Linked DNA regions of Rattus norvegicus. The protein of the gene in region 1 purifies or fractionates together with the protein of each later gene. This does not show direct contact. Links are inferred from orthologs where the notes say so. Each region holds a gene or a part of one and is shown in the gene's direction. Other genes may lie near its edges. The genes, in order: Diaph1 and Iqgap1.

Region 1 (3,814 bases):
AATGTTCTCAGCTATACTTTTTATATTTTAGGTGTTTTTCCTAAAGGAAAATGATTTTTTTCTCTAAAAAACAGAGAACTACCTTTCTCCTTGTGATGTTGGTGGGATAAACCAGCTACTTATTAGTACCTTAGGAAAATGGAGGTTCTGTAGTAACATGTTATGTCCTTGGATTCATTTAAAAGCCTAAATTCTCCAGAGTTGTGTTCAGCGAGGTTTTGTTGCTCTAGTATGAACTTCCTCTCTGTAGTTTTTATTCTGTATCTTTTATGGAGCTCCAGAGTGTATATAAATAGGGGACTCCTTATCCATAAGGTTGACGGCTGACGTAGCAGCTGAATTTGCTTGTTTCAGGTGGGATGCCTACAGCTGATCAATGCTCTCATCACTCCCGCTGAGGAACTTGACTTCCGGGTTCACATCCGAAGTGAGCTGATGCGCTTGGGACTGCATCAAGTGTTGCAGGTAAGATGGAACCTTTCCTTAGGAAGGCTGCACTTCCCTCCTGCTCTTCCAGCCCTGGTCATCTCTGAGATGATTCTGGTTTTCAACTTAAACACCAGGTTGAAAGGCTTGGATTTGGGTTCTCTCACTACTTGCTGTCATTGGCAGGAGCTTCGAGAGATTGACAATGATGATATGCGAGTACAGCTCAATGTGTTTGATGAACAAGGGGATGAAGATTTCTTCGATCTGAAGGGACGACTGGATGATATCCGCATGGAGATGGAATATCCTTTTATGACTGATGACTGAGTTCAGGACAGATGATACATTTACTTACAGACTGAATGTATGGAATAGTCTGGAGAGTGATCACTTAGAATAAGGCCTAAGACTGGGAATGGTGGCACATGACTTGAATTCGTCTCCTAGCACTTAGGATCTCTTTTGAGTTTGAAGCCAGCCTGGTCTGCATAGTGAACTCCAGGCCAGGCCAGCTAAGCCTACACAGTGAGAGTCTGTCTCAAAAAAAAAAAAAAAAAAAAAAAAAAAAAAAAAAAAAAAAAATATATATATATATATATATATATATGTGTGTATATATATATGTGTGTATATATATATATATATATATATATATATATATATATAATACATAAAGCTATGTCTACATATTGCTGTTGGCTTTATTTACTTCAGCATAGACCAGGAAAGCTAGGAAAGGTGATTTCTTTAACATCAAGGCATCCATCAGCCTGTCACTCAAGTGCTAACGTAACATGTTTAGCCATATTGCTCTCACGTCCCAAAGTGTCCATCCAAATCTCTGTACACCTCCTACAGCACGATATCTTCCTGAGCTGTGGGGTGGTATGCAGAGCCCTCTGGACTGACAAGCAATAATACTATTACACAGTTGCCTACCTGCCACAAGTGACTTTGATGTGGTTCTATTTTTAGTTTCTTCAGTATGTATACTAGGATCCTGTGTTTGTGGACAATGCCACTCTTGGTTGAATGAACTAGTGATGTTTTAGGAACAGCTGTTGTAGTAGAAGTGGTATCTTGATACCCTCTGTTGGTTGACAAGAAACCTGTCAAACATCTTCTAATTACTTGATTTCCTTAGCCTGTCCTTTTTTCTACTGACTTTGGTGAAGTTTTCCAGATTATTTTAAACACAGTGAAAGATTCCAAGGCAGAACCACACTTCCTGTCTATCTTGCAGCATCTCCTGTTGGTCCGAAATGATTATGAAGCTAGGTAAGCTGATAATGTTGCATCTAAGTGGAAAAGCAGCATCCTTAAATTCAAAGATTGTTCTAGAAAGGTAAAAAGAAATGAAAAAAGACTGTAGATTAGATTCATTAGTCACAGATATAAAGGAAATTATCAACAGCTTGATTAACATACCAACTGCTTTAATTCAGTTGAAAGGTACCTCTTTGGATAGGTAATTGTGTATAAAGTAAAATGTCCTTAGGAGGAAGTGGGTAAGTGGGCTGAGGATGACAACAAAGAGATGGAAACTTAAAGTTGTTTCTGCTTTCTTGGAAGTAGAGATCGGCCGTTGCATGACAAGGATCATAAGGCTGGAGTCCAGCCTGGGTGTTGGGAAGCTGTGTACTGGCGGATGGAGAGACGGCTCAGTGGTTAACTAAGCATGCATGCTGCTCTTGCACAGGACCCACCAGTTCCCAGCCCTCACATTAGCCACACAAACCTCCTGTAATTCTGTGTGACACTTGTGACCTCCATGGCACTTTTATACATGTACACAGATACACGCAAAGAAAAAGAAATTAAGTGAGTGCATGTGTGTATGCACATGCATGTTAGCATTTATGTGCTTGAGGTTGAACTCAGCATGTTCCACATGCTCAGTACATGTTTTACCACTGAACTGCAGCCCCCAACCTGTAAGAGCTTTTGGGTATCTGAAGGAGAGAATGAAAGCTGATCTAGAGAGGAGAATTTGCTAACACAGCAGTAAGGCTTCAGTTAGCTTCATCAAAGCTCTTCCTGGAGTGTTTATCCATAATTCTTTTTTTCTTTTTTCCGGAGCTGAGGACCGAACCCAGGGCTTTGCGCTTGCTAGGCAAGCGCTCTACCACTGAGCTAAATCCCCAACCCCTTCCATAATTCTTTTTATTGTCAAAGCCACTAACTCTTCTTGATCCAGAATACTTCTGGAAGATACATTTTTTATTTCTGTTTGATAAATTTGTTTTGTTTCTTTCATAGGCCGCAGTACTATAAATTGATTGAAGAATGTGTTTCTCAGATAGTTCTACACAAAAATGGAACTGATCCTGACTTCAAGTGCCGGCACCTGCAGATTGATATTGAGGGGTTGGTTGGTAAGCGTGCTTTTCTACCCAGCTCCTCAGAACACTCAGCACTTGGACCTTTTGTTTTCATCGTTCAGTGAAACTTTCAGAGAAATCCTTCTAGTCTCTATTTCAGTTCTTTCTCAGTACACCCTCTTTGCTGGCATTGTTTCATCCTAAGTTTATTTCAGCACAGTGAAAATCTTGCCTTTTTTTTTTTTTTTTTTTTTTTTTTTTACAGGGACTTCAGGTATTTTCTGACTCTGCTGGTCTTAGAAGCACAAATGTCACACAAAGGCATCCTTCGTGTGATTTCTTTACCTTGCACTTTGAAATACTAGGCTAAGGGCCAGCATGGTGGCAATAAGTAGATGTGCCTGCATGTGGGCCTGAGGACCTGAGTTTGTGCCCCAGATTCTGTATGGTGGCAAGGAAGAACCACTTTTGATAGTTGTCATCTGACTTGCACACATGTGACATATACATACATAGACACTAAATACACACAAAATATGAAACAACTATATAAATAAAACTTAGAGGAAATTGTAAATTGTACTTAACTGAAACTCACATTTCTTGGTCTAGTGCTAGTGCAAACCATTAGGAGTGGCGTCAGCAACCCAAGTGACAGAAGAGTGCCCTTGAGTGTGTTTGAGGCTTAGGAGCAGAGACATCAACTTCGGCACTGAGACTTGACTTACTGCATTGTTTTCAGATCAAATTGCTTTTTCTTTTCAGATCAAATGATTGATAAAACGAAGGTGGAAAAATCTGAGGCCAAAGCTACAGAGCTGGAAAAAAAGGTGTGTATGAAGGCATAGGACTAGAGTTACCTTATGTGTGAAACTTGGGTTCATTCTCTAGCATCATCCACAAATATGTGTATATGTAACACACACACACACACACACACAAATAAATTTGGGATATATCTTTTTTCTTTGAAGATAATTAAGTTTTTTTGTTTTTTTTTTTGATATTTGAGACAGTATTGTCTATGGTATTTTAAAAGCATCCAGAATCCTAAGGTTCCTAGA
Region 2 (4,375 bases), on another chromosome or scaffold:
TCTTCCAGAAGACCTGAGTTCAATTCCCAGCAACCACATGGTGGCTCACAACCATCTGTAATGGGATCTGATGCCCTCATCTGGTGTGTCCGAAGACAGCTACAGTGTACTTATATATAATTAAAAAAAAAAAAAAAAGGTGAAGCAAACCTGGGGTGTGTGTGACTGGTGATTGAACACTTATAGAGAGTGAAGCAGGAACAGGACCAACGTTTGACAGTTTTTAGTGTCTGTGGGAGATGCAAAAGTGCACATTAGATGGTTTGAACCTACTGAGGGGCTTCTAGATTGTCTGGATTGTGAGTAGAAGCCATCAACTGTATATGGTGAGCGTAAGAGTCCTGAGAACGGGACTTTAACTTTTATTGTTTTTTTTTTTAACTTTTTGGAGGCAGTGTCTCACTCTGTAATCTAGGCTGGGGATTACAAGGGCAGGGATTGGGGATTTAGCTCAGTGGTAGAGCGCTTGCCTAGCAAGCACAAGGCCCTGGGTTCGGTCCCCAGCTCCGAAAAAAAGAAAAGAAAAAAAAAAAAAAAAGATTACAAGGGCAAAGGAAATCCTTAATAGGTTCAAGATACCCCGTAAGAACTTGCAAAGAAGAGTACAGATTGTAAAGAGGCGATAAATAGCTCTTCTGATTGAGCATCTTCATCCCCCAATTTAAGAGAATGAGCAGTTCTACGCTTTAGCACTGCTGGGGAGAACAGAGGCCAGATTGACATAATATGGCAGAGTAGGGATGGGAGTCTTTCCTGACAGTGGGTCCCACTTGCGTCCAATAACACCCTGGGCCACCTGAAACGGCTCCTTTAAAGAGCCGCGGTACAGGGGTTGGGGATTTAGCTCAGCGGTAGAGCGCTTGCCTAGCAAGTGCAAGGCCCTGGGTTCGGTCCCCAGCTCCAAAAAAAAAAAAAAAAAAAAAAAAAAAAAGAGCCGCGGTACAGAGCGGGTTAACTCAGCTGTCAAGGAAAGGCAGGCGCCGAAAAAAGTTTGGATTTCAAAGCTGTAGACATTGGCGGCTTTTCAGTCTGAGCCGTAGATAGGGTGAAGGCGGGGAAGTGTCGGGACAACCGACCAAGCGGGCCTGGGGACTGCTACAGCGCCCCGCCTCTTCGCTTCCGCAAGTGGAGAGCTAAGCTAGCAGGGGCGGGTCCTATAAAAGTGACCACGCCCCTTCCGCTCGCTCTGGGGAGCGCAGCTGGGCGTGGACTCAAGGGCGGGGTCTGCGGGGCGGGACCTGCAGGGTGGGGCTGATGGCGCGGGGCGGGGCCTTGAGGACAGCGACAGCCCGCGCACTGGGCAGGAGTTGCTGCTGCTACGGTCGCCCGCGTCTTCAAGGTCTCTGCTCTTCCTCACCGGAGACCGGGACTCGGCCGCCATGTCCGCCGCGGAGGAGGTCGATGGCCTGGGTGTGGTCCGGCCGCACTATGGCTGTGAGTACGGGGTATTTGGGGGTGCGAGGGCGAGGTTTTCCCAGGGGCTCAGCGGAGCGGGTGCGCGGGGTGGCTTGGGACCGCACAGACCCGGAAGAGCAGCCGGCTGTATGGCTGGTAGCAAGGTTGGCGTCTGAGCCCTCTCGAGCTCCGGAGGCGGCGGGTAGAAACCTGGAGGCCTCAGCCTTCGCTAGGCGCCGCGGCAGGGGAGCCCCACCCAGAGCCTCCACCGGTTAGTTCTACTGAGATTGGGGAAGACGGCCTAGGGTGAGGTGGCAGGAGGACTGACTGTGCAGGGCGTGTCCTGGGCACTGGACCCAGGGGTTCTGCTCGGGCGTGGTGGGAAGGTGCTGCCCGGATTGCTGCCTGCGAGGGTGATCCGGGGCGCAGACCCGCTCAGCCTTAGGCTAGCTGCGAGGCGCAGTTTTAGGCAGGCAGCTTACACTCTCCTGCTGGGTTCTCTCTTCAGCAATTCAAAAGTAAAATTAAAACATAAGCACACCGAAATCGCCCCCGCTCCACTTCCTCATTTTCTGTAGCCATCCCTGCAACATTGGTGAATTAACCAGCTGTACGTGGGATTGAAGTTACAAGAGGATCCCTCTGATTCTCGGGTTTAGATTTTATGTTTTGAGGAAAGTGTTTTCTTAAAGGATACTTTAACACATCCAGGTATGCATTAGATAGTGTTATAATGTGTGCCACGTTTGTGAAATAAGGGATGAAAAAGATCAAGCAGTGCCTTCAGAAACTGTCAGAGAAAGAGACAGGTGTACAGACGATTGATAATAAAATCAGTGGGGTTGGGAGTTTAGCCCAGTGGTAGAGTGCTTGCCTAGCAAGTGCAAGTCCTCAGCTCCAAGAAAAAAAATTGGGTGCAATAAAGATAAACGACGCATGAACTAACTAGGTATAAAGAGTAATGGGGGTGAAGAGAAGGGACTTGAGGCCGTGGGAACACAGGTGCTGACTTTTTTTTTTTTTTCCCGGAGCTGGGGACCGAACCCAGGGCCTTGTGCTTGCTAGGCAAGCGCTCTACCACTGAGCTTAATCCCCAACCCCCAGGTGCTGACTTCTGAACAGAGGGTTGAAGGATACAGTGTGGGGCAGGGTGTGCAAGAACACGACAAACTAAATGTGGTACTGGAGAATATAGGGTTACTGTGTGTGGGAACACATAGTGTCGTGGCAGGGCAGAGGTGGGATGGAAAGGGGGAGGAGAAGGGTAAGGAGCAGCCCACGCTAGCATGAGAATAGCTTTATAGTCTTCCCAAGGAGTTAGGAATTCCCTCGACCCTAGGGATGGCTGTGGAGGAGGCTGATGGCTGCAACACTTGGAGACAGGTGGGCGGAAAGGGCCCTTTATTAGCCCTGGGGCTGAGTTCATCCTACCTCAGTTTCCTCTTCTGTCGAGTAGTGGTAATCACAGGATTGTTCTGGGCTAGAGTGGGAGAAAGTGTGTAAATTGCTTAGTCCGGGAGTTGCAGGCTTCCATTGTCAATAGATGGGAAGGCATGATGCCCTCTATCTTAATTCTGACTCACAAGGACAGACGTAGTTGATACTTCTTGAAGCTACAAGAAAAGGTAGTACATATATTTAAAACATTTAGAAATTTGGTTCCTTGAGAATTTTTAACATAAAAAATGAAAATGATTATATCTATCTCCTATCCCTCCCCTCCAATGATTTATCTGAGATTGTATCTCACTGTATAATTCTAGCTGACCTCAACTTGCTGTTTAAGACAAGTCTGGCCTTGGACTCAGAAGTCTGCCTGCCTCTGCCTTCCAAGTGCTGGGATTACAGGCTTGTGCTATTACACCTGCATCTTTTTCTTTAAGAAAAAAAAAAAATTATGGGGGCTGGAGAGATGGCTCAGTGGTTAAGAGCACTGACTGCTCTTCCAGAGGTCCTGAGTTCAATCCCCAGCAACCACGTGGTGGCTCACAACCATCTGTAATAGGGTCCAATGCCCTTTTCTGGTGAGTCTGAAGAAAGCAACAGTGCACTCATATGAATAAAATAAATAAATACATCTTAAAAAATAATTTATGTGTTTGGGTGATTTGCCAACATGCATAATGTCTGTGCACTATGTGTGTACCTGGTGCCTGCAGAGGCCAGAAGAGAATGTCGGGTCCCCTGAAACTGGAGTTATAGCTCATTGTGGGTACTGGGAATTGAACCTAGATCCTCTGTAAGAACAGCCAGTCCTCTTAACTGTTGAGCCATCTCTCCACCCCCTAGGCTCTCTAAAGTAAAAAAAAAAACAAAAAAAACAAAAACAACAACAACAAAAAAAACCCACTAAGTCAAACTAGTGCTGCCCCTATGTGCATGAATGTCTTGACTGTCCATCGGAGCATGGGCAGCTTACCAGTGACCTGACTCCCATATGATGCATAAAACATGATTTTATATGCATGAGTGCATGCATAGACATGTGCACAACATATATACCCGGTGACCTGGGAGGTCAGAAACGGCATTGGCTCCTCTTGAACTAGAATTACAGATGCTTGTGAGTGGCCATGTAGGTGCTAGAAACCCTGGTCAACAAGTGCTCTTAACTGCTGACACGTTTCTACAGCCCCTTACCATATATATATGATATGTATATCATATATATAGAGAGATATATACATATATCTATATCTATCTATGGCTGTGGCTCTCATTTATTTCTGAGGAGAGTCACAGTGCTTGGCGTTTACACTCTTTCCTTCTTGTTTTAGCTGTCCTGGATAATGAGAGACTCACGGCAGAGGAGATGGATGAGAGGAGGCGACAGAACGTGGCCTATGAGTACCTTTGTCATTTGGAAGAAGCAAAGAGGTACAGATGGACTAATTGGAGAGTTGACTGGGAGAAGGAACCGATGTTGTATGCTTTAAAAAAGATTGGCTTTTATTTATGTGTATGCTTTTTGGAACCCGTG

What was found.
Region 2: the proteins of Diaph1 (region 1) and Iqgap1 purify together in Homo sapiens (affinity purification with western blotting; 3 studies listed by BioGRID and IntAct, with this or other methods). This does not show direct contact. The link is inferred for Rattus norvegicus from reciprocal best matches to the Homo sapiens genes DIAPH1 and IQGAP1.

The regions. Positions count from the first base shown.
Region 1 is NC_086036.1:29,978,568-29,982,381, reverse strand, and holds part of Diaph1 (protein diaphanous homolog 1), read left to right. Parts: intron 1-354; coding exon 355-465; intron 466-612; coding exon 613-731; intron 732-1,590; coding exon 1,591-1,707; exon of another isoform or gene 1,708-1,766; intron 1,767-2,688; coding exon 2,689-2,804; intron 2,805-3,515; coding exon 3,516-3,580; intron 3,581-3,814. UniProt on the Homo sapiens protein: Actin nucleation and elongation factor required for the assembly of F-actin structures, such as actin cables and stress fibers. Binds to the barbed end of the actin filament and slows down actin polymerization and depolymerization.
Region 2 is NC_086019.1:144,175,859-144,180,233, reverse strand, and holds the start of Iqgap1 (ras GTPase-activating-like protein IQGAP1), read left to right. Parts: upstream 1-1,280; 5' UTR 1,281-1,379; coding exon 1,380-1,434; intron 1,435-4,172; coding exon 4,173-4,272; intron 4,273-4,375. UniProt on the Homo sapiens protein: Plays a crucial role in regulating the dynamics and assembly of the actin cytoskeleton.